3 linked regions of the Caenorhabditis elegans genome follow. The protein of the gene in region 2 purifies or fractionates together with the protein of the main gene of each other region. This does not show direct contact. Each region holds a gene or a part of one and is shown on either strand. Other genes may lie near its edges.

Region 1 (10,641 bases), on a different chromosome or scaffold from region 2:
TATTATTAAGGCAAAAAGCATGCACTGCAACTTTTTTCGAACGAGGGACGAGGCAAAAAGGTTTCTAGGCCATGGCCGAGTCCCCGACAAATTTCAGCGGCCATTTATTTTGCTTTGTTTTCTGCGTGTTTTCTTTCGTTTTTCACCGATTTTTTCCGTTTTTTCATATCAAAACTAATAAATAAATATTTTTTGCAGATGCTAAAACAATTTCCAAGTGAAAAAATTGTGAATTCAGTCGGCAAGTAGCAGTGAAAGTGGGCAATGTAATATGATGGATTACGGCTATACAAAACCCAAACTTTTTCTGAAACATGATACATATGCTGCTTAAATGCTGAAGCTACCTGATTTTCATAACGAGACAGCTAAAAAAGTTTTGAGATTTTCAAAATTCAACATTTTGTGCCAAAATCTCGACTTTTTCACAAAAAAAGTTGAATTTTGAAAATCTCAAAACTTTTTCAGCGGTCTCGTTATGAAAATCAGGTACTTTTAGCATCTAAACAGCATATGTATCACGTTTGGGAAAAAGTTTGGGTTTTTTATTCCCGTAATCCATCATATTACATTGACCACTTTTACCGCTACTTGCCGACTGAATTCACAATTTTTTCACTTGGAAATTGTTTTAGCATCTGCAAAAAATATTTATTTATTAGTTTTGATAAGAAAAAACGGAAAAAATCGGTGAAAAACGAAATAAAACACGCAGAAAACAAAGCAAGATAAATGGCCGCTGAAATTTGTCGGGGACTCGGCCATGGCCAAGAAACCTTTTTGCCTCGTCCCTCGTTCGAAAAAAGTTGCAGTGAAGCATCAAAACCTACACAATGCGGAGCAAGATTCTGATCCGTCGAAAAAGTCTCTCCAGAATGGCAGTCAAGTCCAAAAGTCGCACAAATATCTCCAGCATAAGCAGTAGTGATCTCTTCCATATCAGCAGCATGCATCCGAACCAATCTCTGCACACGTACTTTTCTACCGTCTCTCGATGCATAAACAGTGTCTCCTTTGCTTAATTGTCCCTGGTAGACTCGGAAATAGGTGAGTTGGCCGTACTTTCCTGCTTCCAGCTTGAAGGCAAGCCCGACGAATGGCTTATCATTGTTTCGTTTTGGCGAGAGAATGATTCCTTTTTCATCTCCGGTGGTTTCCGTTTTTACAGTGGCTCTGTTAACGACTTCAGATGGATCTGGAAGGTATTTGACGACGGAATTGATCATTGTTTGAACTCCTTTGTTCTTTAAAGCGGATCCGGAGAGGACTGGGACGAATGCACGCTGGAACAAAATATTGATTTTATTAATTTTTTGTTCAAGTTTATTGTTATGCACGCTCTTGCTACGCTTCGCTATTCTGCATCCGCGGAGTTTTGTCTTTCCACTGAAAATGGCAGAATTATCAAATTTTTAGCTTCAAAATTGTTTTTTGTTTCTGCATTTTGCGAACAAAACCTATTGTTAAACAGTGAAAATCGAATTTAAAATGACTAAAATTAAGCGTTTTCGTCCACTGGAAGAAATCAACGGGATTTTTCCTATTTTCTAAATATTTCGCTATAAAAAATCGGTTTTAATACATTTTTGACTTAACATTAGGGTCAAAAATTGTTAAAAACCGATTTTTAATAGAAAAATATTTAGAAAATAAGAAAAATCTCGTTGATTTCTTCAAAGTCAAACCATATTACAGAAAAAATTCGAAAAAAATCTGAAAAATTCCAGGGAAAAAAATGGAATTTTTAGATTTTTTTTAGAATTTTTCTGAATTTTTTAAAAGATTTTTTTTAATTTTTCTGAATTTTTTTAATATTTTTTCTGAATTTATTCTGAAATTTTTAGATTTTTTGTCAAAAAATAATCTAACAATTTCAGAATAAATTCAAAAAAAATCTTAACAATTCTGAAAATTAAAAAAAAACGATAGAAAATTTCCAGAGAAAATTTTTAAAAAATCTAAAAATTTCAGAATAAATTTTTAAAAATCTGAAAAATTCCAGGAAAAAAAAATGGAATTTTTAGATTTTTTTGAACTTTTCTGAATTTTTTAAAAGATTTTTTTGAATTTTTTTATATTTTTCAGAATTTATTCTGAAATTTTTAGATTTTTTTCAAAAAAAAAAATCTAACAATATCAGAATAAATACAAAAAAAATCTTAACAATTCTGAAAATTAAAAAAAAACGATAGAAAATTTCCAGAGAAAATTTGAAAAATTCTAGAAAAAAGCTGGTGATTTTTGAAATTTTTAGTGGATAAAAAATGTTTTTTCTTTGGTTTTGTGCATTTTTATTCCCGCATTTTTTGTAGATCAAACCGTAATGGGACATATTAGCACCACGAGTAAATCTGAATAATCTGATAGCAAGCGCGCTTTAATAATTATTCAACCTTGACAACAGTTCTTCTAATAGCTTCATGAATCTGTTGAACATTTGGCGTCTGATCGTTCAAGAACATTTCTCCAAGAGTCTCATCAACATTGGCAATATGCTCAATGAGCTCCTGACGTCTATCTTCTGCTTCCACCCTCAAATCCTTTGGAATCTCGTCCTTTCTCACAATAAGTCCACCTTCACCCTCATAATACAACGCGTGTCCTTCTACCAAATCGACGATTCCATTGAAATTTGAGTCTTTCCCAATTGGTAAATGAATGAGCGCCGCGTTATGGTTCAATTTATTCCGGAGGCCATCTAGAGCTTTCAGAGGAGTCGCTCCATTCCGATCCATTTTATTCACGAAACAGATGAACGGAACATTGTAGCGAGCCAGTTGACGATTAACAGTGAACGTTTGCGACTGGACACCTCCAACTCCGCACAGAACAAGTACGGCTCCATCGAGAACACGAAGAGCCCGCTCGACTTCAACTGTGAAATCCACGTGGCCTGGTGTATCAATAATATTAATATTAGTTCCGTGCCAATCCACATAGGTAGCCGCCGACTGAATAGTGATCCCCCGCTGTCGTTCGAGATCCATAAAATCCATTGTGGCTCCGACGTCGTCTTTTCCGCGAACTTCGTGCATCGAGTCGATTCTTCCGGCATAATACAAGATTCTTTCTGTGACAGTCGTCTTTCCCGAATCAATATGAGCAGAAATACCTGGAAATTTGTGTTTTAAATCAAGATTTTGATCAAAAATTAGGATTAAACGCCAAACCAATATTTCTGATTCGTTCAATTGGCCGGACTCCTGGTACGACGACGGACGACGGCGCTTCGTTGGATGCGAATCGTCGGAGGACGTTGTTTAGCTGAAAAATTCATTTAAAAAAAACTATTAAAATAATTTAAAAATAAATAAATTACCTGCCGACGGCTTTGCGCCACTGCAGAGAACCTCCCGAGAGGACTCATTGTGTATTACCTGAAGTTTAGATGTTAAATTTTCAAAGATTTTCACTTAAATAATTTTTAAATTTTTAAAATAAAAATAATATTGGAAAAGTGCATTTAAAACGTTTAATTTTATTAATTAACAAAAAATGATGCCATAAAATCGTTATCCGAGAGGAGTACGCGACGCGTGGCCTAGCATTTCGGGGCAGTCGCTCTTCCAAAAAAACATGTTTTTCTCACTCGACTTTCAGATATTTCTTATATATTTTTTAAAGAACTCTCTCGTTGTTTTCCGTTCGTTTTTTCAATTTTTAGTAAAGAAAAGAACAGAATCATCAAGTTTTAATATTGATTTATTTCGAGTTGCTTGAGAAATGCAGAGTTTTCCAAGAATTTCATGTTTTTGTTTATTGGAAATTTGAAAAACGCTTTGTAACCAGCAATGTGGTATTGCATCATTAAATAATGTTGAAATAACGGGTTTTAACTGAAAGAAATAATCTTTTAAATACTCTTTTCGACGGAAATATATTATTTCTATTATTTCCTACGCAGCTAGCTACAGTAACCCGGTGGCCGAGCGAAAGAGCATATTTAACCACTTTTCTGCTCTCTCTAATTCCACTATTCTTATCAATTGCAGTACTTTTTCCCCGTGTCCTGTCTCGTTTCCCCCGCTATTTTCATGAAAAATTTCAATTTTCAGGCGATGGACACTCGTCGAAAAGTGTATCACAGAGGCGAAAACAATACACAGAGGATACAGGAAATCCGGGAGAGCATCAGAGTCAAAACTCGAGCTAGTTAGTTTTTTTTTCAGCTTGAATTATGATGAGCATTTTAATATTAAAATTTTCCAGAAAAAGTAAGCGAAACCAGTGAAAAACGACGAGAAAGATTCCGAGCCCGTGAAGATGTGCAGAAACTGATCCGAGGCGCCGATTCGTACACAAAAGCAACTTACGAAGAGAAATGTGAATTTTTGAATGGAATTTCCAGGACGATTTTGGAAACCACAGTGGAATCGCTGACGGATAACGAGTTTTTTGAGGATATTTGTCAGTTGTAAGTTGTGAAAACTAATCTGAGATTTAACATATAATAAAAATTCCCCATTTTTCAGAGTGTTAAAATTCCTACCCGACGATCACCCGTGTATCCGTGCAATGTGCTTCCATATGGTTCGAAAATGTACGATAAACGAGCGGAATCTAGTTGTAATCCTTACAACTCACGTGGATATTTTTATCGTTCGCGCAATTGATTTACAAATGGAAAATCAAACGGAACGATTGGAAGCTTTCAAGTTAATTATTTGGATGCTTAAAATCTACGAGAAATCCAATCTCAAGAAGCTGATAGACTCCTCGGCGGCGCAGAAAAACGGAAAGTATGCTAAATTTAACTTCAATTTTCTGGAAAAAAATGATCGAAAATTCACAAAATTTGGTAAAATTTGGAATTTAGCCGGCTTGACAAGCGGCGGGAAACTAAATTTTTTGAAATCACCAAAGAGATATTTTAAATAAATTTTTTATCAAATCTGGTCGTTGCAGAATAAATCTGAAAAGTTGCAGAACATTTGTACGTTAAAATCTGATTTTATAATGGTGTTTGTGATTTTTTTTTGTAAAAACTCAGAATTTTCGGTGGAAAACTTTAAAAAATCTGAAAATCTCCAGAAGTAATTTTTTAAAAGTTTAAAAATTTTAGAATAAATGTTAAAAAAATTTAAAAATTTCAGTATAAATTTAAACAACTCTAAAAATTTCAGAATAAGTGTTAAAAATAAACTCTAAAAATTTTAGAATAAATTCAAAAAAAATCTAAAAATTTCGGAATAAATTCAAAATAATCTTTTTAAAAAACTCTTGAAAAACCTGAAAAATTTCAGAATAAATTCAAAAAACTCTGAAAATTTCAAAATGAATTTTAAAAAAGCTTGAAAAACTTGAAAAATTCCAGAAAAATTCCAAAAAAAAACTTGAAAATCTGAAAAAAAATGATACAAAATTTTCTGTAAAAATCTGAAAAATTCTAGAAAAAGCTGTAGATTTTGGGAAAATCTAAAGTTAAAAATTTTTTTTTTCAATTTTGCACTGAATATTTAAAAATAATCGGTTTTCTTTTTCGGTTGGCACATCGAAATGTACCTAAATCTTTTGACGCGCAAAATATCTCTTAGCGAAAACTACAGTAATTCTTGAAATGACTACTGTAACGCTTGTGTCGATTTACGGGAGAAAATCGCCCGTAAATCGACACAGACGCTACAGTAGTCATTTCAAGAATTACTGTAGTTTTTCGCTACGAGATATTTTGCGCGTCAAATATTCTGTGCAATACGCATTCTTTTTTTTTCAGAAAATATGCATTCCCCAAGTCCATCATGCAACCCATCATCTCCATCGCATTGTCAGCATTTGAAGGTCAACAGACTACGGGAAAAGACAAGTAAGCCTGGATTGGATTCGATTTCCCGTTGAAAAAAATTAATAAATTTTCCAATTTTTAGATTAACCCTCCCGTGCGTCGGCCTTTTCCTGGAGTTCAGCTTAACCGAACCGCTATTAGTCCTAGAAATGGCCGGAACAGATTGGCTTGTAAAAGCATTAACTGGAGTTTCTTGTATGAGCCGACGAATTGTGCTCCTTGCATCACATGTTCTGATCTCGTGGCTTGATTCTCCGACGATTCGGATCAAAGCGCATTTGGATTTGGTGATGGAGCAGATCTTCGCACCTCTGGTGGAATTCGGATTGTTCCAGAAAAGAGGAAGTATGCTTACGAATGATAATGCGTAAGCTCTAGCATTCCTATATATGGGGTTAATCATGTGATGTAGAAAAATGCGAAAAAATGCAAAAAATTCAAAATAAATGTCGAAAAATTTCGAAAAATGTCAAAAAATGCAAAAAATGCGGAAAAATCTAAAAATCTCAGAATAAATTCGAAAAAATCTAAAAATTTCAGAATAAATTTAAAAAAATGGTTAAAAAAATATTCTAAATTTTTAAAATGATTTTTTCAAAAAATTAAAAGACCGAATTAAATTTGAATTCCCGCCGCGCAAAAAACTGACGTCATTTTTGACATTTTTGTGCAAAAAATCTAAAAATTTCAGAAAAATTCAAAAAAATCTTTAAAAAAATTAAAAATTTAAATTTTTTGAATTTTTCTCGCGGCCCTTTTTATTTTTTGAAAAAAAAATCATTGAAAATTTAGAAATTTTTTATACATTTTTAAAAAGTTAGTTTTTGCATTTTTCGACATTTTTCGAAATTTTTTTTGACATTTTTCTACATCACACGACTAACCCCGTAATAGTTTTCTAACCAGTTTCAAAGTTTAAGAAACGAAGCCTTCCACATGAACGACTTTTTGGAGAATTTCAAGTGTTCCTTCCTCCGAATCATTCGATCATGGCCGGGGCTCTTCGCATGTGCTGCAGTTGGCCCCAACTCAAATATTCGTCCATCTTCACCGTTCCGGCTCCTAGACTACCTAGGCCTAGGTACGGTGGCCAATGATAATCTTGTGAGGATTCGTGATACGATTGTGGATCTTTGCTGTGAATTTGTGGATGTTCCATATGCCAATAAGACATTTGAGTCTTGGGAAGAAGCTCTCTCATTTTATAGTGAGTAAGGAGGATAAACTCGAAATGACCTGAAGAATTTTCGAAATTTTTTTCAGAAAATGCAGAAAACGTTTTGGAAAAAGTTCAGAAATTTTTTTTTATTCAGAAAAGTTTTCAAAAAATTTTTCAGAAATTACTGAAAAGTATTCAAAAAAAAGCTAGAAAAAAATCATTAAATTTTTAAATTCAAAAATTTCAGAAATTTTTTATTTTTTAATTCAGAAAATGCAGAAAACTTTAAAAAAAATTTTTCAGAAAATTCAGAAAGTATATTTTCTGCTAAATAACCTGTCGTTATCTAAAAACACCGTTTTAAAATTTTTTAAACAATTTTTTTTTGAAAAATGACACTCAACTATCTTGTAAATATGCTCAAAATCGTTAAATTGTTCAAAAAAAGCGTTTAAAAACAAAAAAATCAATTTTTCGTGATTTTGGCGAAAAAAAAAATGTATTCAAGTATTCATAGGCTTCTTGAAAAACGGAAATGAAATTATTTTCAGAAACAATGCACCTACCGGACAAATTCAAGAGCAACCTGAAAAACGACTTTGTAATTGCTCAAAATGATGCTCGCTTGAAAAATGATACGGAACGACGGAAGCCAACAATCGATCTTCTTGCAGCGTTCCGAGTTCTTTCCCAATTCGTTTTGATCAATGCTCAGCTTCCACTCTCGCTGGCCAGGCTGATCCTTGCGATGCCCGACTCATCAAGTGGACTCAAGGCAACACTTTTGATGGCTGATATGTTGAGACAAGCTCCATCTCATGTACCTATGGGGTATCGAGCTCCGGTTCTTTCGATGCCAACTCTGGTGCAATCGGCCTGTGAATCGCTGAGCCAAAGTCATGCGGTGGCGGCTATAAATGGAACTTTTGATATTAATACTACAGAGCAATACACTTTCCTACATGCTACGTTAGTATTTAAAATACACTTTTTTGTGCTTTATTAGACTTAAAATTGTCTGAAAACACCCAATTTCATGATGAAATTTCTTGAAAACGTCTCAAAAAAAAATGTAGAAAAATGCATGCGTTTTTGAAACATTTTTCTACACACATGAATAAGGGGAAAATGTATAAAAATACATTTTTGCATGTTTCATCATCACATGAATAACCTCATTAGACTCGAAATTGTCTGAAAATATCGAATTTCTTAATGAAAATTTTCTTTAAAAAATGTTATAGCGACCGGCTCAAAAATGACCCAATATTAATTAAAATTTTGGAATTTGAGCGGCTGGAAACTAACTTTTTTTTTGAAATCACCGTCTAATTTTGGGTATATAAGTTGATTATCTTTGGTTTTCAACTCGATTTATGTAGATTAAAGTCCGTGGACGAAAAAAATACCTAAATCGAGTTGAAAACCCAAGATAATTAACTTTTATACCAAAAATTAGACGGTGATTTCAAAAAAAAAGTTAGTTTCCAGTCGCTCAAATTCCAAATTTTAACTAATTTTTGGTCATTTTTTGAGCCGTCATAACTTTTTTTTTTTGAGAAGTTTCAATATGAAACTCGGTGTTTTCAGATAATTTTGAGTCTAATGGGGTTATTCAATAGATGACGAAAAATGCAAAAATGTATTTTTATACATTTTCCCTCTATTCATTTGTGTAGAAAAATGTTTAAAAAACGCATGCATTTTTCGACATTTTTTTGGCATTTTTTCTAAAAATGTCAAAAAATTTCGAAAAATGCAAAAAATGGCGAAAAATACAAAAAAAATTCGAAAAATGCATGCGTTTTTTTTTCACATTTTTGAATAGGGGCAAAAATTAAAAAAAATACTTTTTGCATTTTCCTAGATTAGGTGAATAGTCCCATAATAAAGCGATAAAACAACACCACCTTTAAAAATAAAACCAATTTTTTTTTTCAGGAACGCCGAGCTTGTCCTAAATCGCTTCGACAAATTAAATCAATCGTGGATCCGATCCGCGTCCACCTCATCCACCGTTCTCAAAGAATCGGATCTAATGCTCTTCTCACCGCATATGTCCGAACCCATACCACTAGCATCTACAATGAAAAAATCAAAAAGTGATTCTTCATTTCGATCGGGGGGCTCATTTTTTAAGAGAAACACCTCGCCTGATGTCTACGAAGAAGAGTCTCCAGGTGAGTTCAGCGAGACTGTGCTCCGTGGAAGATACGATAAGAATGCGTTGATGTTGATGGATGATGCTGACGATTATGATTACGCAGCTCCGAACATCAGAGACACGCTTGACGATGAGGAGGAGAATGCGAAGAAGTTTTTCGTCGATTCAACCGGAGCATTTGACTGGAACTATGTGGAGTATTATGTTGAGAATATCGAGAAGGATGGCTACGAGAAGCTTCTCAAAGAATTCACATCGAACACTATTCAAGTTCATATTTCAAATGTAATAGTTTCAGAAATTTGAAGAAAAAAGAAAAAAAAAAGTACATTGTTTTGTTACAGATGTTCCAATACATCTCACCATCCGAACAGGAGAAGCACAAAAGATGCATAGATCGGCAACAAGTGATTGTGACGAAAAGCCTAATCAAGCTTCTGCTCCGAGTGTTCCAGAAAGAAGCCCATATCAGTGATGCCTATCAGCCAATCTTTCTGAAATATGTTGAAAGCTTTAAAGCTCTTTTGGAAAAGGTACAGTTGATTATCTGAAAAGTATGAACCAACAAATGATTATATTTTTTATTTTTTTATGTTTTCTAAGGCAGAATATTTCACAGTTTTTGATCATTTTTGCAAACTCTTTTTGTATTTAACATTCAAAATAACCAATATATTTCTTATTTTCAACGTTTCCAGTAAAAATATACGTATTCGTCACGGGGTGTCAGAAAGTCTCATTGTGGTTTGATCTACAAAAAATGCGGGAATTTTTTCCCAGAAAATTTATGACGTAAGCACACTGTTAACCATGCGAAATCAGTTGAGATGTCTACGTCTCACCTCCCGCATTTTTCGTAGATCAAAGCAAAAAGGGACCGTCTGACTCCACGTGATTCGTATGTAGTTGAATTCTACAGGAAACGAGAGAAACGATGAATACATCGAATTTTACCTGAAACATCATGAATAAGCTCAAAATCGGTCATTTTAAAATTGAAATGCAAAATGAATCAGCAAAAAAGAACTAAAAACATGAATTTCTGCCAGAATCATGTAGAATCATGCGAGAAGAAAATAAGTTTTCGGCTTTCCACGTGTAGTACAAAATCAGGATTTTTACATGTCGATTTACAAAGCGTTTTGTACTACACACGGACAAGCGGGATTTTACAGTTTTTTAAAGCTGAAATCGCTGGTTTGAGACTATTTTTGCGGATTATTTTTGTATCTAACATTCAAACGTAACAAAATATTTCTTATTTTTTATGTTATTTTTTATTAATTTGTTGTTTTGCAACAATTAATTCATCGATTTTTACTTGAAACATATCCAATTTTAAAAATTGTCCATCGACATCGTGCCGTAGGATTGCAAAAATATAGAAGACATTTATTAAAATATATTTATAAAATGTGTAATATATTTCAGAGATCCAATCCGAATGCCTACTTTGCTGCTCGCAACCTTTCCTACACCAACTCGATGCTTCATTTCGCCATAATCGGAACGTTCACAATGACGAGTAAAGGATTA
Region 2 (10,466 bases):
CACATTTGTAAAATTTTGTATAACTATCAGTTCTTTTTAGCCAAAATAATTTTTTTCGGTATTTTTCAGACAAAAAAAGAAAAAATTTCCTTTCAGTTTTTCAAAAATCTTATTATGCAGTCGTAAGAAAACCGAAAAATCGTGAATTTTTAGAAAAATTACATTTTCTGTCTCTTTTACGCTTTGAAAAATGTATTTAAAAGAAATCTTAAAAAATATTTAATCGACGTGTAGAAAAAAAGCTGTCAGAAATTATCAAAGACGATTATTTAGATTTTTAAATATTTTAATAATCCAGAGTGACAATTTCATTTGATCAATTTTGGAAAAGAAGTGAGTTTTCAACAGTTTTGAATTCAAAATATATTATTTTTTCAGATGCTATTATTATTCCGTTGTACAATCACTGTTGTCCTTCCAATTATTTTCCTCATCTTTTTTGTAATTGGATGTCTAAAAAAGAAACCATCACAGAGTAAGAAGAAGCCATCAAAAGTGTCAACAGTCACTTCAACGACGATTAGTCAAGAGAAAACAAATTCTAAAAGAGGATCAAAAGATGCTGTTGTGGATGTTTCAAAGCCTGGAAAACTTCCAACTTTAGGAGAAAATAATAAGAATTTGAGTGATAAGAAAAGCAAGCAGAGATCACTGAAGGCACAGAAACAAGATGGACTGAAAATGGAGAAGAAGGCATCGGATAAGCGGAAGAAGAAGGCGAATAAGAAGAGTCCTCGAACACAGGAGACACAGGAAGTTGTGATAAAAAACTCGAAAAATACAGATGATTCCTGCATGCACACTGCAATTCGAGCCAATACCATGATGCATACAGTTCGTGAACCATCAAAGATTGCTTCTAATGTAGGAAATTTTAATTAACTTGATACCGTAATTCATCTTTCTATAAATTTTTTTGTTTAGGCCAAACCTAATGATGGATCAGACGGAGCGGACGGTGGCTACGAAAAACTGGGTGACTTGTCAGCTGATGATCTCAGGAAAATCGCAGAAGCTGCTCCGAAATAGACCTCTTAGCTTTTTTGTGGAAAATATTTTGGAATAAATTTTTTTTATACAAAAAAAAACTAACTTTTTGATCATTTCTCAATTTTGGAATCATAGCAATCATTAAACTTCCAACGTATGGTCTCATGAACTTTGGACTCTGTTTCGCCAATTGCGCGATCATTTTCGCAGAATGTTGCTCCAATCTTGCCTGACCACTTTGTTGCATTTGACTCAATGTCTCTAGGAGCATCAATCGAAGACGTGGCAAAACAAGTGCCGGATTGAGCTCTGCGAGTCGTCCGAGTAACGTCACACATGCTTGCTGCATTTCGAGTTTTTCGTCGTGAAGAGCCATAAATTGTACTTCGAGCATTTCGGGTTGAGCCAAATGAGCAAGGAATGGCCGTGGCATTTGTCCGAAACAGCTGATTACTTGCATTCTGACACGGACATCTGAAATAAATTAAAAACATTTTTGAATATTTGATCAGGAGCACAATTTTGCGCCATTAGTACTGTACCCGGTCTCGACACGACAATTGTTTTAATAGAAAAAGGTATGCGCCTTTAAGGAGTACTGTAATTTCAAACTTTTGTTGCTACGGAATTTTCATTAAAATTTTCCGACTTTTTTCCAGAAAATCATAGGGAAATTGTCATTTTTTGAGAATCGAGAAAAATTGAGAGATGTTCGGACGAGACAATAAAAAAATAGATTTTTCGAAAAATGATGAATCCAAAATATTGAGATGACTAGAAGAATTATTGAAAATTCAATTTTTTTCGTTTATCGATTTTCGAAAAAAATAAAACTTTAAAATTACAGTGCTATTTAAAGGCGGTTAATTCTCGTTTCGACCAGTTACCGTAGTTTCGAGTAAATACCTACCTTGATCATTAACAATAACCGAACAAACAGCTCGCAGCACACCATAAATAGTTTGAAGAAGACTATTTCTCTTGTCACTTGTAACTTTTTTATAAACTCCAACAAATGGTACGACCATTTCACAACACGAAGAGACAGCAGCCAAACGGATTTCCACATTGTCCGCTGTCAAGTAGTACTGAAAAACCACAAAATTACAGAAAAATCGAGAAAACTTTCGAACGTACATCTGCAACGTATTGCATGATTCTCTGCAAGGCACCTCTTGAGAAATAGAATTCACCGAGCACATCGACAGCCAGCACGATTCGTTGAAGCTCTTTTGGATCGGTTTCTGCTTTCTGAAATATAAATCTTTTGCATAAATACAACCCCAAAACTCTCATTTGAGATTTTTTGAATTTACTTCTTTGCACAACAGAAATATCGCCAATGAGAAATATATTTAAAACCATTGTTAATGCTAACATGATAAAATATCATAGGAAATCTGTTCGAAAAATTTAAATTTTAAAAAGTCGCCATTTCTATTTTCTTATTTTGCTGATTATGAAAATATTTGAAAACCCCGCAAAGTTTAGGTTTTTTTTTCGATTTTTCGGCTTTTAAATTTACGATTTCTGGAAACAAAAATCAAAAATTTCGAAAAATTTCTGGTCATTTCTCTATTTTTCAAAAGATAATTTCGATAAATTTATAGCTTCTCTGTCTTTTGTTTTTCGAACATATCTGAAAAAAGCGAAAAATCATACAAATTTTTAACGACGCCCTTGGTTCGAATATAGAAAAATGTCGAAACTTTGACGGAAAATTATTTCAAAAAAGATAAAATTGTAAGCGTTTTTAAATCTGATGGGATTCTGATCTTTATTTAAAAAATGTTATGTGCTTTTCAGATTCAAAAAAATTACTTCGAGCAAAATTATAAAATTTCTCTACGAAACAAACCTGCAAAATAGCTTTAGGACTCGCAGGCCTTCCAATCGGTTCGGATTTTGGTGGAATTAGAGATCCAGTGAGTGTTTGATAGACAGAAGCCATAACACCATCTTGAACATTCAGCCGCAGTTTCGGAATTCTCATCATAATCATTTTTAGCACGTTTGCCAGCGATCGAGACAGGGTAATATCCATTAATTGTGGAATTATTGCCTTGATTTGTGTCGTCACTTGTTCGTGATAAGCATCCACAAATAGGAACAGGAATGTGAAATAATTATCGAGAACATCAGAATTCGTCGTTTTTCTACAAAATTTAACTATTAAAAAAAGTGTACTAATTTCAAATTTACTTGATAGCAGCAGAGATAAAACTGATTGTTTTCTCGATATGTGTGGCATGTACATCTGGATTCGAGAGCATCATCATTCCGATTGCTGGAGCAGCGACCGCATTTCTTTGAAGACTGAAAAAATTGAACATTATTGGAAATTTTGAATCACCATAATTTTTTTTGAGTCTCGTTACAAAATTCGTTTTTAGCGCATTTCGAGTCTATAAAAGCTAAAAGCCCATAAACATCAGTCCTCTTCCATTCTACGTACATAGTAAATGAAGTGTCGAATGAGATTGTTTGAAAAGTTCGATCACATTGTGGAAATGCACAAATTCTTGGTAGAAGCTGCATGAGAACTGTATTCAGGTAAATCGAGCTTTGCTGTTTCGTGGATGAAGTTTTGTTTGCGAGAGGTATTATCTGACGAACACAATCGAGTATCTGGAAAAAAACATAACAAATTTCGGGAAATGAAGAATTTCAGCTTTTACCTTCGGAAATCGTTCCAAAACCAGCTTTCGAGCAGTCACACTTTCCACAATAGTTTGTTGCCTTAAAAATACAAGTTTTTAAATAGATGAAAAAGAATCGATTACTTAGTTAGGACAAGCCATTCAACACCTTCTTCTTCGTCTTCTTTCAAAAACTTTTGTTTAATAAACTGTGAGGATTCACATCTGATGAGTTCGAATCGTTGATCAGAAATTCGAAGAAGTTCATTGAGAATCAGGGCGACGGCATGCCATCTATCCAAATCGTCCTTTTGCGATGGGTTTGGTTGACCTTCCAGTGCTTCATCGAAACATTTCTGGAATATAAAATCATTCTAACGAAAGATCAAAATTTTAATTGATCACCTTAAACCACTCAGTTTTATTCTTTGCTTCACGCTGTGAAACAATTGTCAAAACCACGTGTAATGCATCAATTCCGGCGATTCTTACAGCTGGATTCTTGTCTCTGACAGCGTTGAAGATATACTTGAAAAATAAGTTTACACGAAGAAAGAATGCTGTCGGTGTGGCCAGTGCGAGCTCACGAGAGAGGTGTGAAGCGGCGAGTCGACGAATTTGATCAATTTCCTGTTGATTTTTGGGTTGCTGACTATGTGGAACATTTTGACCAAGCCATTCGTGGCAATGATCAAGACAACGATCAACCAGCTCGGCCGCGTATGATTTACAAGTCTGCAAATGTTTAAAATTGGTTTAAAAAAAATTAAATTACTTACCGCAATCAGAAAAGCGAGAGCTTTTGAAGCCATCTTGACTGTATCTTCATCTAATCCATTTCCATTATTTAACATTTTCAGAAGATAATTCGCATATCGAATAACATTTCCAGAATGAGTTTCAGCTAAGCACACGATGAGATAGATACCGGCTCGTTTCTGATCGATATTTGAATTCGACTTCATACAATTATAAATTGCACTCTGAGAGGCTATATCTGTTCGTCCATCGATTGCATTCAGGAAAGCATCACTAAAAGTATTTGGCTCGTCTTTCAGCTCACTTCGAACATATCTGAGGAAAATAATATATTTAATTTATTGACTTTTATTTAAAAAAAAAACTACCTGCTGAGTTCTCGAGCAGCCTGTCGTTGATTTGCATCTCTATTTTCCGTAATTCGGCTCCGATATTGTGAAGCAAGAGCTCTTGCAGCATCAATCCCTTGCTGAAATATGATTTTTTTTTCCTTAAAAATTGTTTAAAGGAGAAGAAATACTAACTTTACGATGCCGCTCGTCAAATTCATTTGTAGCTGGAGCGGAGACTATTCGATTGGAAGTTGTGGCTGCTTTGTTCTGTCTATCGGCATTCATTTGAAAACTAATTCCGTGTTGTTGGAGCATTTTTCAAAGATGTTTCTGCCGATTTAGTGCATTGTGGGCTTAAAATTACGTTAAGAATAAAAAGTTATGAGAATGATCAGAAGCATAGAAAATCACTGGTTTTTTTCCGAAAATAAAATTATTTCCAGCTGAAATAATCAAGAAAGTGCTCAAAACTGGCCGTTTTCAGAAAAATATAGCTTGATAGTTCGATAATAGACAACTTTCAGGTAATTTTTTACCACTTTTTAAATTTTTTTCAGCTAAAAATTAGGTTTTTTTTCCTATGTAAATCAAGGGATTTTCAATGAAAAATATGAGAACAACACGGAGCCTTTTGTAATATCAGATAACTATGGGCTGACAAAACCCGTTGCATATTTCAAAATATCAAGAAAAAAGAACAATGGATATTCTTTGAAAAACTAAATAAACTGAGGAAGGAAGCAAAGCAAACAACATTTTTAAAAGCCTACTCGAAAACAAAAAAAATATCTAGAAACAACTTTTTATCGATTGAAAACTCGTGGAGCTCCTCTCTTGAATCTGTCCATGTCTTCTGTTCGTGCCGCTCGTCTCTTCTCATCATCCAATCTATCTCGATTTTTCATGAATTCTTTTTCCTGCCAAAGCTTCTGCATCACGTAGGCATCGTCGTCGAGATATGGAGTTTCGTATTCTTTCTGGCCGAGTTGAGGTGGTGCAAAGTGTTCTGTGGCTTGTTTTCTGGAACATATTTTTATTTTAAAAAAATTAATTTTATCAGGAACTCACTGATATGTAAATCCAGCGAATGAAGTGATTGTTCTCTTGCGTGGAGCCGCGGATTCTCCAGTTTCCAAACGGAAGACCGCATCATTTCGCTCGTGAACTACTGATTCTATACGATCCATTGTCTGAAATATATCATTTTGCATTTATTAAATTTTTAAAATATACCTCATGAACACGATCAAGTCTCTCTGGGTTTGGCATGTTCCGGGCACGTGAAGTGTGCGCTTTTTTCATCGTTATCAGCATATTTCGCTCCTTCAAGCACACATACCTTAAATTTAAATTTTTAATAAATTTAAAACCGAATTGCCATTAAATTACCAAAGCTTATGCAAATCTGAATTGCTTTTTAATCTCAGTTCTTCTGCTGTCCACGATCTGCCCGGCCGATGTTTCGGGCGGAGCTCTGCTTTTCCAAAATTCGCTTCATCATCGAAAAATTGTTTCATTGTACTGGAAAATCGTGTGTTGACGGCATTTTGTGATCTAAAAGAAGCAAAAATTAACTGGAATTCAACAAACTTCGATTTATCAACTAACCGAACAGCCGAAGACACCAAACTCGGTAAACTACGCCACATTGTAGATTTGAAGAACCTCAAAGAATGAAAATTGGTAAAATCAAAATTTTGCATATATAAAGAGCAAAATATTCAATAAAAACAAAAGAAAACATTAAAAAATAGAATATTTTGGAGAAAACCTTGCTGCCAAAAAATAATAAATGGGCGGCAAGTGCGCTCCACCGCACAATTGCCTCCCCCATAGCAGAGGTAATTCAAAAAATAGTTTTTTCTAGATAAAATTTCAATAGCAAGTTTTAATACTTTTAACATGGGTTTTCAGTAAAACATTGAATTAACTTCAAGTAATTATTTCTTGAAAAAATTCTTCGACAAAAAAGTTCATTTTAAGTCAGATATTAATTTTTGAAATTATGAAAACTTAGTTAATCTCCCAATAAATAAATGCGGTCATTTATATGCCTGGAGGTCAGTTTTTTTGATTAAACTGGAAGCTTCTGGCACCTAGAAAAATTTTGTTATTAAATTTTGAAAGCGCTTAAAATTTGAAACAAGTCCCCGAAGAAACATTTTCAAAAAAGTTCAATTTAAGTCAGATATTAATTTTTGAAATTACGAAAACTAAATAAATCTCCCAATAAAAAATGCGGTCATTTATATGCCTGGAGGTCAGTTTTTTTGATTAAACTGGAAGCTTGTAGCACCTAGAAAAATTATATTATTAAATTCTGGAAGCGCTTAAAATTTGAAGAAATCCGAAAAGTTCTAGAATTTTCTAAAAAGTTCTGGGAATTTTTTAAAGAAAAACCTGGAAAGTTGTAGAATTTTCTTGAAAGTCCGCAAAACTCCAGGAGAATGTATAACTGTACAAAAATGCTACATTAGCACTTTAAAATTCATTAAAACAATTTAGCGTACGCCAGTCGGAGCACGCGCTTTGCGTGTGCGAACGGCTGGTATATATAAAAGTGTGTGAACAAGATATTCCATCGTCGAATCGTACATTTTGAAATGCCAATAGTTTTTTTTTTGAACAATATTATCATTAAGAGGTCGTGTTGTGTCAGGTGTCGTCTTTCAATCTTGAAGTAATGTCCGAAACATTTTGCTCATTGCGGTTGTAACCCCTTCCTGTGTCTTGTCTCTGTGTCTCTGAAGATTGTACATCGCACTAATGCTCACTGAGCACCACAAAATGAATTGAAAAGATAGGGAAAGTGTTCTGGAGGAGACAGGAAGATAAAGAAGACAATTTCATTTCGTTTCTTATACTCCCTCACCTTTAGTTCAATTCTTCTTATATCACTTTATCACATTGAAAACTGAGTTTTCTTTTATTAAAGATGGTATAGTGGGGAAAATGCTAAAATTACTTTAATAATCCTCAAATTGTCAAATGTCATAAAATATTTTTGAGCGTAATCTGAAATATGTTTATTTACCACCATAAAGTGGATATTACTTAGTTTTCATCGGTCATAGTTTTGAGAGTCGACCAGGAAAACCATTTTTTCTGCAGGTTTAAAATATTAATGATGTTTTCATTATTCGTATCAGGAGGTGCAAAAGCTTGAAAGCTTTACTTTTTACTTGACGTGCTAGAAAATGATTGAAGATTTTTGCTTGAAATCCAACTCAAGCAAAAATAATGCCACAAATATCCGGTTTGCCGTTATTTCATTCTTTTTTCTAGAAAGTTTCTTGAAGTTTATACAGTTTGATTAAACAAATAACGTTCAAAAAGATTGATGTTTGAAAACCTGACTTTGCGCTTGATTTTCATCTCTTATTCATATTTTGACATTTGACATTTTTGCACTTCGAACATGCAAGAAAACTCTGAGTTTCTCAGAAATTTTACGAAAATTTGTAAATTTTCCAAAGTTTTGACTCTAACCAAGTTTCAGACAAATGTCATATTCAAGTAGAGAAAGTTCCAGTTTACGATACAGAAGTGGAAGTGTTGAGAGGCGATCAACAACATCTTCATCAAGAGATCCTGCACCATATCGAACATGTTATGGAGTTGAAAGGGGGCGTGTATGTTATTGAAATTAGGTTATTTTATGTCAAAAATTATCTAGGAACTTTCGTATCTTAATTGAAATACGACATTTTCAAACATATTTTGAAAATTAATTTTAAAAATTAGATAAAAATACACAATTTGACAGTCAAAACTACGTTGAAAAATTGCAAATTATGAAATTTCTGAAAAATGTCAAGCTATGAGAGCCACTGAAAACATGCCCACATGTTTACTGCATTCTCATGTTGTGGCAGTGGTTTGGCAGAAGAAAAGAGCCGATAAAGTTGTCAATCACCTGATGTTCCTCCCATGACTCAAAGAATCTCAGTTGGCTCCCGCATTCTCAGAAAACGTCTTATTTTTTGTTTTCTCACCTTTTATCATATAGCATTTATCGAGTTAAAAAAAAATTTGGAAGTTTTTTTGTGATTTTAAAATTGCCAAAATGCCAATCTGAAATAGTTTTCAAACGTTATGAAGCTGATATTTTTTCAAACATAAATTGTAACGCGATAATTCGTTTTAAAATTTTAAAGGTTGCATATTTTGAAACATTTCAGTCTCGAGATCTTCCTTCAACTACAAAAACAACAACAAGAATGCCAAGAGCAACATCATACGATCCATTTGCTTCTACAAATCGAGCAAGTTCAGTTATTCGAAGTGGTGGTCTTTCGAATAGTGACTATACACCCAGAATCAGTTCATATACAAGCAGGTGGGTATTGGAGAAATTTGACGTTCATTGGAGTTTCCAATTTTCTAAATATATAATAATTAACTAGAACTTGAGCTTTATCACAAGAACAAATAAATGAAAACTTTTGTTTTACTATTAGAATAGATGAACTAATTGGAGGTTTGTAAAGTTTGTCTTATACATTTAATTAAATGCCAACGGAATTTGTACAGTTCATCAAAAACTACAGTGTTTTTCAAATATTCATTTTTTAAAAGGTGCTGATAGATTGTTTTTGATTTCCTTTTGAAGAAATTTCAGCTCACTTTCAGATTTCCGAATGAAACAAATTTAACAGCAAATGAGCTCTATGAACTTTTTTCAAATCGATCCTAGTCTATCATAAATCTATTAATTAAAAATTGAAAATTTCCAAAAACTTCCGTGATTGTTCAACTACCTATAAAATTAAATGTCTGCGAAAATCCACGAATGGACAATTTTACGAGCCTCTAAACTAGAAAAGAAAATGTTTTTTTGACATTTTTCCAGTTGGAAATGTTTTCAATTCATTCGGAAGTCTAAAAACGAACTGAAATACTTTTCTTGTGAGAATGCAAAAATTTAAAATTGATTTTTTTAGAAATTATGATGAACAGAATTAATGAATATGTTTGGGGTTTCCCACGAGATTCTTAATCAAACGGCCCGAATGTGAGCCAAAAACAATTTTTATAAACTTTTCCCTCATATATTGTATCAAAATTATATCAGATATGGTAGTACTGATCAGCTGAACTCATCGTCTTCCTCCTCTTATCGACCGACGTCATACCGTGCCGGATCAATCACTTCTGGCGGAAATTCTAGTAATTCCACGTCATCATACACTCCCAGAAATGTCCGAGCTGGAAGTGTGAGCATTGGAGGTAATTGATATTCCAAAACTGATTGGTCATTTCGTCTTTTTTTTAAAATTTAATTGTATCCTGTCCAGATGTTTCACACATGTTTTGCAGCCTACGACCCTCCAACGAGTCGAGCTGACTCGGTGTCCTCATCATCCACTTTTTCAAGATATCGACCAGATAATTCTGTGTGAGTAAAAACAACGGTTGTCGGATGTAACTATATTATTTTTATTTTTTTCACCATTGATGATTGGAAGTATTATTTGAAACTTCTGCTAGTAAATTAAAGTTTTCCAGATCCTCCACCTCAACCTACACCCCAAGTTTGTCTCGCTACAGATCCACTGATCTATCCAGTACTTCTGACTACTCTTCAACCAAATACCGTAGCCCAGACAATAGCTACAGTAGTCGGCGCTCATCTACAATATCTTCTGGAAACTCAAATCGATATTCAAACTCCCATAAAACACCGTCATCTGTATATTCTTCAAGAACATCCACATCCAGCTCATATAGAAGTGACAGAGATTAC
Region 3 (10,507 bases), on a different chromosome or scaffold from region 2:
TTAAAAAAAATGGAAAATTAGTGTTACAGCGTAACATGGTCTAGCATTCCCGACTTACCAATTGAAAATTGTTTATGCGGAAACACGGTTATTTACAAACGAATAAACAATTATCACACATTGAAAATAATCCTTTTTATGATATTTTAGATAGTTCAGAAATAAAATCGATAGTTTCAGTCGAAATTATTTTATTTTCAAAAATATATTGTAGTTGCTGAAATATCGAAAAACTTGCAGTGCAGCAATATTGTTATAAATATTTGTATTCTTGTTTCCAATTTAATAACACCATTTCGCAAAATCCAGGCAATTCCGGAATCAATAAATGTTCTCAACTAGAACAAGACGGAGTTTTTTTTCGACATTATAATTTAAACTTTACAGTCATAGAATGATTCCATAGTTTTGTTCCAACTATGCAAGAGTACCGGCAGAGCAGTAGTAACTCCACTTTGTTCAAACTGCGACTTTGTTCGGTTTTTTCTTTTGGAGGATAAATGAATAGAAGTATTTTCTAACAATCAAAATGTTGAACTATAGTTTTTTATAAAACACTTATTCACTTCTGGAATGCTTTTGTGTGTTCCATAAGAACAGGAACATAAAAAGTTAGTTCCGGGTTCATTGTGATCTATGGTTTCATTTTTTCACCGTCTTCTTTTTTTAAAAATCAAATTGGTTACGTGCCAAGTACCATATATAATTAATCAAAATTTATTGGTTTTGTTCACAGAAAACCGATTATGTTCTTTGTATCAAATAATAGATATGTCTACGGTAGTTGTTCCCATAAAATTGATAAGATATGAGAATAAAACCCCCAAAAAGACATTTCATTTTTTTACAAGTTGTATAAAAGACCGCTCGGGAGAGAAGCAGTGACATTTGTGTTGAATATTTTCTAGTTCTTCATGCTTGTGTGAAAAACAAAATTAATCAGGAATGAGCGAGGAACATATTGCAGTAACTCGTTTCCGAGAGTACCTTCGTGTTAATACAGAGCAACCAAATCCGAATTATGGTAAGAATATACATTAGAACAGTCAACATTGTATAAAATTTTAGCTGCCTGCCGTGATTTTTTATTTAAATATGCTGACGAACTTGGAATCGCAAGAAGATCAATTGAGGTAGGAAAGTTTTTCAAAAATTTTTTTATGAAGTTTGTCCTTTTGAAAGTGGAACCAATATACTTTTTTTAAAATTTTTACAATCTTGATTAAAATGCTAGATTCTCATCCTTAAATTTTCAGACAGCTCCAGGAGTTTTCCTTGTAATAATGACGATTCCTGGATCTCAACCAGAATTACCTTCAATTATGTTATATTCTCATACTGATGTAGTTCCAACATTCCGTGAGCATTGGACTCATGATCCATATTCTGCATTCAAAGATGAAGATGGAAACATTTTTGCTCGTGGAGCACAAGATATGAAATGTGTTGGAGTACAGCAAATGGAAGCTTTAAGAAACTTATTTGCTCAGGGAATCAGGCAATGGAAGAGGACAATTCATTTGGTTTGGGGTCCCGATGAAGAAATATTTGGAATTAATGGAATGAAAGGATTTGCGAAAACCGATGAGTTCAAGAAGCTGAACCTTGGATTTTCATTAGATGAAGGGATGCCATCAGATGATGATGTCTACAAAGTTTTCTACGCAGAAAGAGTTGCGTGGTGGGTGAAAGTAACATTCCCTGGAAACCCTGGTCATGGATCACAGTTTATGGAGAATACTGCAATGGAGAAACTCGTAAGTTACACTCCTTCTGCAAATATTAAAACACTAAAACTTGTCTAGGAGCGGTTCCTAGCCAGTGCCAGAAAATTTCGCAACGAACAAAAAGTTGTATTGGAGAGTAATCCAAATTTAACACTGGGAGATGTTACGACTTTGAACGTGAATATTGTAAATGGTGGAGTTCAGTTCAATGTGATTCCTGAAAAGTTTGAAGCTTGTAAGTAATGTTTTCATTCAGCCTATAGATGTAAAATATAATTTTAAGATGTTGATATGAGATTGACACCTCATGAAGATTTTAATAAAATACGTGAAATGTTGGATCAATGGGCAAAGAATGCCGGAGAAGGTGTCACCTATGAATTTTCCCAAGTAAGGTTCTGAAACAAAAAATCAATCAAGGCTCTATTTCAGTATTCTGACCAAAAACCAATATCTGCACATACTCGAGATAATTCATTCTGGGCTGCATTTGAGGACAGTTTGAATCAAGAGTTAGTTAATTTTTTAACGGACATAATTTGAATAATAATATTTCAGAAACTGCAAATTTGAAAAAGGGATAATGGTTGCATCAACAGATTCAAGATTTGTGAGATATGTAAGTGATAAAATTGGCTAGTTTCAAATTGACATTCAGTTGATCTACTATTTCAGGAAGGAGTAAATTCCATTAACTTTTCCCCAATGATCAACACACCGTTTCTTCCACACGATCACAATGAATATTTAAATGAGAAAGTATTTTTGAGAGGTCTCGAGATTTATCAAACAATCATCAACAACTTGGGCAATGTCTAATAATTCAATTTTTAAAGTATTTTTTAAATGTTCTGTATAAATAAAAATGTTTGTATATCAATTCTACAAACTAGTAAAATAATTTTCTGCTTGTTGCAACGGTTCTCAACATATTCAGATTGCAGAATACCCATTTTCAAAAACTGCATAATGTGTTTGAAAGAAAAAAATTAACATTTAAATTTTTGCGAGAAAAATGTAATTTAGGCATATGATATCATATTTTAGAAAAATATAACCTACAAATGCTAATTACAAGTGTGAAAATTGATGTTGTTTGACTATCTGGCTAATGTCAAGTGATAAATTGTTCAGAAATTACTATAAAACCGATATGTCTTCGGTATTTTCTTTTAAACTCGTAGGTTTTTTCCTCAAACCTCTTTTAACAGCTTGAAAAGTCTCTTTTTTTTTTTAAATCAGGACGCCCCCATATTCAGTCACAAGCCAATTTTACTAGATTATAGATAATAAAATTTTTGAATCGAGGTGAGACCAGCTGTGTGCATTTAATAGGTAAAATTATCAATAATCATCAGATTTGTTAAATAGAATACTTTTATTTAACCAGGTTTCTATAGCGATATAAAACTTTTCCCATGGGCATTCAGATTTATACCCATTATTTTTCATATGATATTATTATGAACTAACATATTCTCATGTGAAAATTCCAGTTGACAAAACTTCTAAGAATTAGAGCAATTTCAAAATTTAATAATTTGAAATTTTTTAACAAGTCCTGATATCACTATCTTTTCTAAAACTTTTTGATTATTTATACATTTGCAGTCTGAACTCATCTCAATTACAGACATCTTCCATTATATTTTTGTTTTTTCTTATTACGTTTTTCCTTTCATTGGGACGGGACCACCATGACTATTTGGTTCATGAAAATTGGTATTCCTATCGCATTGTTAAATTATGTGCTTTTCTTTCGAATAAAAACAAATGGGATGATGTATATATTCCAGGAGTCAATATCTTGAAAGGAAGTGACAAAAGCACTAGAAGCTTCATTTTACATTCTTTTTCATTTATAAATGATCTCGTGACAATTTCTCATTTGTCACATTTGATATATTTTGAGTTGCTATTTGTTCATGTGCAATGAACGATGAAAACATTTGTGATATTTCTAGAAACTTGGCGACTTTTACTATTTTGTTACGGTTTTTGTCACTTTTCTTATTTATTTACACTTGGCTCAAGGATGTTTTTGATTGCGGATTATTGAGTTTATTGAAAAACCTCACAAAATCTTGTTTTTTTTTTCAAAGTGGAATTTCCAAAACGGTCGAGTTTTGCTCCATTATCACTTTTGGAAACAATTGAAGTGTACCATTTATTAATAAAACCTTCAAATGGGAGTTCATTTCTTACTATTAACATATTATTTAGAAACAGAGAACGAATACAGTATTCAACGAGCTATGTTACATTTGATAGAATTATGTTACACCTGCATTATCTAGTTAACATTTTACTGTTAAATCTGATTATATGATCAAGTTAACAGCAGAAATTCATGTTTAGCCGACATTAGATATGTTTTATTACCGTCGAAACTCCGTCAATGTAGCTTAACAAGAAAGCCATTCAAAAATGTCTCTTTACAAAATTTTGTAAAATTGGTAAATGTTTCAATTTCTTGCTTGTAGAGAAATTGAGAGCGTTTTTGATAGAATAATAAAAGCACACAATATATTTCCTATTAGTTCCTTACTGCTTTACAGCTCATATCTTATATATCTTTGGAATTATAAAAAATGTTCAACTATGAAATTACAAAATAAACATTTGACACATATTTTTATTGTCTTAAGGAAAAAATACGGTCATTCGGACAAACAAATGGGATATATAAAATGGGATAATGGGATCTTCTTTTTTTTTGACATATTGGAACTTCATTCTTGTATATCTTTATTTTAATTTCCCATTACCACTTCTCTGTTTTTCAACATAACATATGCATTTTCTTTCGAAATCTTTCTAGAATTTCAGATGCTGTTCTCATCGAAAATCTTGCTTCCAACGGTTTTCCTTCTGCTCTGTGCAACAACAGTGGCAGTGGATCCACTTGATTTCCTATTCAGCTCAAACATGGCTCGTTACCCGAGATATCGTCCGATTTCTTCATCCGCTGCATCTATCACACCGGATCTTGGAAAGAGGTTTTGATTTGAGTTCGCATTATTTCATTAGTTTTTAATGTATTGTATTTTCATTGTTAGCACATGAACTTGATTTTATTATAAAAACTGTTTAACTGGTAAAATATGTGTATTCAATATTATTAATGATGAGTTCAACTAGAAGTTGAAAACATTAAACTTTTTTGGGAATGTCTCCTTTAATTCTAAATTTGCTAGTTACAATAACTATTTAAATTCCAGAGCTCCACCTGGTTGTGTTTGCACAGAATTTCTTGGCTGCCATGGACCTGGATGTATGCGTCGAATGTATCCAAAGGCTTGAATCGTTAACTACTCCATTCATAATTGTTTCCATCTTTAATTACCAACCAAGTTTGAGAACATTTTCAAAATACAGTGACAACAGAACATCATTGAATAAAATACATTGTTAATGAATTTACTTTTGTTCAGAGAAAGATGGAATTTCGGCTCGAATTTCGAGATTAATTTTTTTTTGATATTCACAGCATGATTTACCTTTAACACCTTTAAATATACAATTAAAGTTAAGATAATACGAATTCTAGAAAGTAAGTTAAATTTAGGTGCAGTCAAATGTAATTTTTCACTGGTTTCGAGACAAAATATATGACAGTTGAAAATAAATATGCATGAGTCATCCCACAAAGTCAATTGACTCGAATAAATAAATATTTTTTTAAATTAAGATATTCCGAAATTTGCATTGTTTCATATCTGCTCTAGTATATACGCAGCACTGAATCACAGCCAATATAGAAAATAGTTTCCATTTTTTAATTTTGTTTTAATTATATTGTCGAAAAATTGTTTTAATACTTATTTGGATTAATTAAAATTTCGGTATAATGATGAAAACGTTGCGAAACCCGTAAATAAGGTGAAACTCTCATTTGAGTTTCCTCCAAAATGAGACAAAAAGTGCAACGGAGCGCACTTGCACGAATCACGTCTTCTTTAAATTCATTGCCAACGTGAGTTTCAATTTGGTTTTTGCACTTTTTGCCGACAAGAAAAATGCAATTTTGCACGAAATATTTTTTCTTAAACTCGGTTTCCAAAGAAAATTAAATTTATTGATTTTTTTATTTGTCTTGCTCACTCCTTCGTGAAGATCACATGATCGCACTATAACATGGCAAACAATTTTTGTTTCAGACACAAAATGGAAGAGGATAGGAGTATAACACCGTTTTCCTCGTTTGCAGAACGTTTGACAGTCAATTTGTGGCATGCTCAGGTGAGAAATTTAATTAAATAATGCAATTTTTTCAAGAAAAAACAAAAAAATATATTTGTTTCAGAGAAATGTAGAAAGAGTCACATTATATTTACAAGAACCCCGACATGTCGAAGATATCGCAGGAAGTATGGAAGATGAGTGGGATTGTATTGAAGAGTGGTTTGTTTTATTAGAGCATCATTTTAAAATTAAAATAATATTGTTGTGACGAAAGACGAAAAAAAAAACAGCAAATTAATGGAAAAACTCACAAAAAGTAAATAATATGAAATATTTTTACTGTTTTGCACTATACTATTTGGAAAATCAAAACGATTTCAGAAAACAAAGGGCATTCGGCAAGAAATTAATTATAAGTTAAAATAAATAATTTTCAGCGTAAATCGCCGAAAAGGCAGTGATCGCCTCCGAACTGCATCTGTCGCCATCATCATGTGTCTACATTTGGGAGTCGATCCACCAGAAGCTCCGTCTCGAAAAGATGCTCCTTCTCGTCTTTTATCATGGGTTGATCCATATAAATGTGGTGCACACAAAGCAGCCATAGAGATCGGATTGAGCACTCAAAGGGCTTATGAAAAGTGGCAACCAAAATCAAAGTAAGAGATGAATCGGATATTTCCAATGTTTCGGACTAAAATACGCTACTCTAGAATTCGGTTAAAAATTACAAAAATGAATAAAATTAACAAAAATGCAATCTTAAAGCCAAAAGGAGTTACAGAACTCGATATAAAATTTGTACGGATCCGCCTATCGATGACGTGAGAAAAGTTGCAACAAATCTTCGAAGAATCAGTGGAAATGATCGAGTTCTGTTTCACTACAACGGACACGGTGTACCGAAACCAACAGATAATGGAGAAATTTGGGTATTTAATAAAAGCTTCACCCAATATATTCCATTGTCAATATTCGATCTACAAGGATGGCTTGATTATCCCACAATTTATATCTGGGAAACTCATTCAGCTGAGACAATTCTTCATAACTATCGACGATTTGGAGAAGATCAGAAAATGTTTGTTTGATACCAAAAGTTAAGAACATACTGAATTATGGATTTTTAGATCCTGGCAAAGTAGGTTTGATCGATGGCAAGAGGAACAGAGGAATCTACCACCAATCTCATCAAAAATGACAGATGCTGATCAAGCAGAAGCATTAGGTTTTCCAGAGAAATATCCCAGATATAATGTAAGAATTGAATCTTTATAAGCAAATTTCCGACCAGCAATTCTCCAAAATGAGTCAGCGTAAAAAAAATTAAAGAAAAAATACTTTATTTCAGTTGGACTGATTGAAAACGTGCTCAAAAATTATTTGAAAGTTGGAATTTCCGGGAAAATTTCGATAATTAGTCGGTATTTTCGGCAATTCTCAGCTTTCAGAAAAGTTTTTAGCGTTTTTGAATAGTTTGAATAGTTTTTCAATTAAAGTGAAAGCTATTTTCCGATAAATCAAATTTTTTGCTATTTTTATCATTAAATTTTATAAAAAATGCTGGTCGATAATTTCCGCGTACCCCTGGTTCCGCACAAGAATTCACGTACCTAATTATTTTTCAGGATTGTATCCATCTAGCAGCATGCAGTGCCGGTCAATGGCTTCCAATGTCGAATCCTCATCTGCCAGCTGATCTATTCACTTCCTGTCTAACCACGCCTATCCGAACATCACTCGCATTTCATTTGAGTCATTCGGAGCATCGTGATGAGTATCCGGAAAACATTTTGGACATGATTCCTGGAAATCTTGCTGAACGAAGAACTGTGCTCGGAGAGCTCAACTGGATATTCACTGCCATCACTGACACAATTGCATTCACTTCAATAGATCGTGACTCGTTCCAAAAACTTTTCCGTCAGGATCTACTTTTGGCAACTCTGTTCAGAAGTTTCTTGCTTGCACAAAGAGTTATGTCAAAGTTCAATGTTTGTAAGTAATAAAATATCTGAAAGTTTAATGAAATCTAAACAAATTTTGAATTTCAGTACCAGTTTCGCAGCCTCCTCTGAAAGACACATCAATGCATGATTTATGGAGATGCTGGGATCAAACAATGGATATGGTTCTAGACTATTGTAGAGAATTGATTTATGTCAAAGAATGCGAAAGAGCACTGTTTTGTGGAAGAGATGTTATTAATAGAAGCAATGTGTTCCCGTTTTTAGGTATATTTTAATGCATTTGACTATTCACAAACTGATATTTTAGTGCTCATTGACTTCGAACATGTGCTGACTTACAATGAGACCCACCAGTACAACACATTCTTCACAGAACAACTACAAGCTTTTGAACTTTGGCTAGACTACGGTGTTGACGAAGGAACACCTCCACTCCAACTTCCGATGGTTCTTCAAGTACTTCTGAGTCAGGCACATCGTGTCAGAGCTCTACGATTACTTGCACGATTCCTTGATTTTGGTAGATGGGCTATCGGATATTCACTTGCCGTTGGAATCTTTCCATATGTTCTGAAGCTACTTCAAAGCAATATTAGTGATTTGAAAATCTCTTTAGCGTTTATTTGGGCAAAAATTCTGGCAGTAGATCCATCGTGTCAAATGGAATTATTCAATGAGTGTATCGATGAATCAGCAACACAACAACAATCACCAGCACAATCACAACAACCATCAGTTGCATTGAAACCATCATCCATGTTTGCAAATCATCCACCACCTGCACAATTAACAATGGATAAACGTGCACTTCAGATTAATACTCAAACTGGCGGAAGATTTCAAACTAATCAGAATCAGGCATTGGATATGCAATTACAATATGCTCAACAACAAGCTCATCAGAGGCAAATGGATCCATCAGGAGGACAACATTCACCAAATGCTCAGCCTAGACAACCACAACCACAGCAACCACAACAACTACAACAGCAACCATCACAGCAACAACAACAACAATCTAGACAACCGCAAGGAATTATGGTAAACTCACAATTTTTATTAGAACACAATTGGAGCTTTCTTTGAAAAAAACTAAATTAAAATTTCAGAAACCAACGAATGCACAGCCACAAGAAAAGAAGACAATGCTTCGTTTTCAATATTTCCTTCAACTTCTCGGCGATCCTGAAATCAAACCGAAACAGAAAACTGTTGCTGCATTCGTACTTGCTCAGCTAACATCCAATAATTTCAAACTGGCACAGAAAGAGCTCACCAATAAGGGATACATGGGAATTTGTACGGAATTGATGGTCGATGATACTGCGAGAAGCGTCAAATTGCTGAAACTGTGGATTCTGATTGGATTGGGTCGTCTGTGGTCAGATTATGATGTAGCCAGATGGCAGGGTATTCGATTAATGGCTCATGATAAAATGATTTTGGAATTGAGTGATGAATCAGCAGAAGTTCGTGCAGCTGCTGTATTTGCACTTGGAAGCTTATTGAGGAACTCTTCGAGATCAAATGAGCATGCATCAGCAGTTGAAGAAAATCTAGCAGGAGAACTATGTTCCCAGTGTGTGTTTGATAGTTCTGTTCTTGTGAGAGAAGAACTGATTGTTGCTCTTCAATGGTTTGTGTTTGATTTCGAGAAACGATTCGTGAAATTCTTACTGGAACTATCGAATCAAATTAAGTTCAAACTTCCACGAAAACGAAATTCTTCTGAAAATCTCAGTGAACAAGGATTGGATATTGCTGCAGAAATGCCATCAAATCATCGACGACCTCGTGCTCCACCAGTCAACGAATTCATGCAACCTTCAGTTATTCGAAAGAAAATGTCGACAAGTGTGTTCAGTACAGCTGTTGAAGAAACTGTGCATGAAGACGGAATAGGAAATGTTTACCACATTGCACATGAAGCTGGAAATCGTGTTGAACAAGAATCTGAAGATATTGAGTATAGGTAAGAAAGATAGAAATTGATTTATTGTAAAAAGTGAAATTTACAGAGAACGAGCAAAAGTACAGATCAAGCACTTGGAAGCGAAAACATTCAATGAAGCCGTTGCTAAAACTTGGTTGTCACTTTTAATATTGTCATTGGATCCTATTGAGAGGGTAGATTTTGAAAAAAAAGATTTTGAAAAAAAAAAGAATTTCTTAGAATGGTAAATATTTTAATTCCCACTTATTACTCATACGCAAATTATTGCGATTTCAAAAAAGACATCCGCCTTTAAAGAGTACTGTAATTTCAAACTCTGGTTTCTGTGGAGTTTTTATAGTTTTTCTCACAATTTATTAAATTTTTTGTGCGTTCATTGTAAAATTTAAGTTTTTTGAAAATAAATAAATATAGCTTTATAAAGCTTTATCGAAAAACAACAAAAATTTAGCAGAGACGAAACTTTGAAATTACTGTATTCTTTAAAGGCGCATACCTTTTTGCGTTAAACAAAAATTTGTCGTGACGAGACCGAATACAGTATTATCGTCACCTAATTCGCAAAATGTTTCGTCTGTGTAATACAACCAATACATCTCGTCAGGTTGCCCGAATGGCTCAAAAAATAGTGCATCGCGTCGAAGCAGGAATGCCCGAAATGCAAGCCAACA

The links.
Region 1: the proteins of let-363 (region 2) and rict-1 purify together in Caenorhabditis elegans (affinity purification with western blotting; 2 studies listed by BioGRID, with this or other methods). This does not show direct contact.
Region 3: the proteins of let-363 (region 2) and daf-15 purify together in Caenorhabditis elegans (affinity purification with western blotting; 2 studies listed by BioGRID, with this or other methods). This does not show direct contact.

What each region holds. Positions count from the first base shown.
Region 1 is NC_003280.10:13,110,219-13,120,859, reverse strand, and holds the start of rict-1 (RICTOR_N domain-containing protein), read left to right. Parts: upstream 1-4,053; 5' UTR 4,054-4,058; coding exon 4,059-4,152; intron 4,153-4,209; coding exon 4,210-4,414; intron 4,415-4,472; coding exon 4,473-4,739; intron 4,740-5,713; coding exon 5,714-5,803; intron 5,804-5,864; coding exon 5,865-6,149; intron 6,150-6,696; coding exon 6,697-6,989; intron 6,990-7,492; coding exon 7,493-7,910; intron 7,911-8,882; coding exon 8,883-9,390; intron 9,391-9,449; coding exon 9,450-9,638; intron 9,639-10,536; coding exon 10,537-10,641. Other genes in the region: gfm-1 (Elongation factor G, mitochondrial), read right to left, coding at 831-1,283, 2,394-3,112, 3,171-3,264, 3,320-3,367.
Region 2 is NC_003279.8:5,240,350-5,250,815, reverse strand, and holds the start of let-363 (Target of rapamycin homolog), read right to left. Parts: upstream 5,074-10,466; 5' UTR 5,036-5,073; coding exon 4,913-5,035; intron 4,858-4,912; coding exon 4,757-4,857; intron 4,704-4,756; coding exon 4,409-4,703; intron 4,365-4,408; coding exon 4,035-4,364; intron 3,986-4,034; coding exon 3,774-3,985; intron 3,730-3,773; coding exon 3,669-3,729; intron 3,619-3,668; coding exon 3,446-3,618; intron 3,307-3,445; coding exon 3,193-3,306; intron 3,147-3,192; coding exon 2,849-3,146; intron 2,242-2,848; coding exon 2,128-2,241; intron 2,079-2,127; coding exon 1,901-2,078; intron 1,465-1,900; coding exon 1,094-1,464; intron 1,083-1,093; exon of another isoform or gene 1,030-1,082; coding exon of another isoform or gene 925-1,029; intron 865-924; coding exon of another isoform or gene 379-864; intron 334-378; exon of another isoform or gene 279-333; intron 1-278. Other genes in the region: B0261.5 (uncharacterized protein), read left to right, coding at 379-864, 925-1,029; mrpl-47 (Large ribosomal subunit protein uL29m), read right to left, coding at 5,524-5,740, 5,789-5,910, 5,954-6,059, 6,110-6,274, 6,329-6,423; C32E12.4 (Ubiquitin carboxyl-terminal hydrolase), read left to right, coding at 8,941-9,059, 9,795-9,949, 10,040-10,118, 10,229-10,466. UniProt on the Caenorhabditis elegans protein: Serine/threonine-protein kinase that regulates the mRNA translation machinery, probably by modulating the activity of translation factors such as eIF-4G and eIF-2. It may have some protein kinase activity instead of lipid kinase activity.
Region 3 is NC_003282.8:9,380,570-9,391,076, forward strand, and holds the start of daf-15 (Raptor N-terminal CASPase-like domain-containing protein), read left to right. Parts: upstream 1-5,638; coding exon 5,639-5,703; intron 5,704-5,880; exon of another isoform or gene 5,881-5,887; coding exon 5,888-5,969; intron 5,970-6,033; coding exon 6,034-6,131; intron 6,132-6,349; coding exon 6,350-6,571; intron 6,572-6,687; coding exon of another isoform or gene 6,688-6,696; coding exon 6,697-6,993; intron 6,994-7,042; coding exon 7,043-7,169; intron 7,170-7,540; coding exon 7,541-7,910; intron 7,911-7,966; coding exon 7,967-8,146; intron 8,147-8,189; coding exon 8,190-8,923; intron 8,924-8,991; coding exon 8,992-9,854; intron 9,855-9,900; coding exon 9,901-10,009; intron 10,010-10,440; coding exon 10,441-10,507. Other genes in the region: C10C5.5 (N-acyl-aliphatic-L-amino acid amidohydrolase), read left to right, coding at 946-1,024, 1,069-1,133, 1,257-1,757, 1,806-1,962, 2,011-2,117, 2,160-2,239, 2,286-2,346, 2,403-2,546; nssp-45 (uncharacterized protein), read left to right, coding at 4,557-4,726, 4,949-5,030.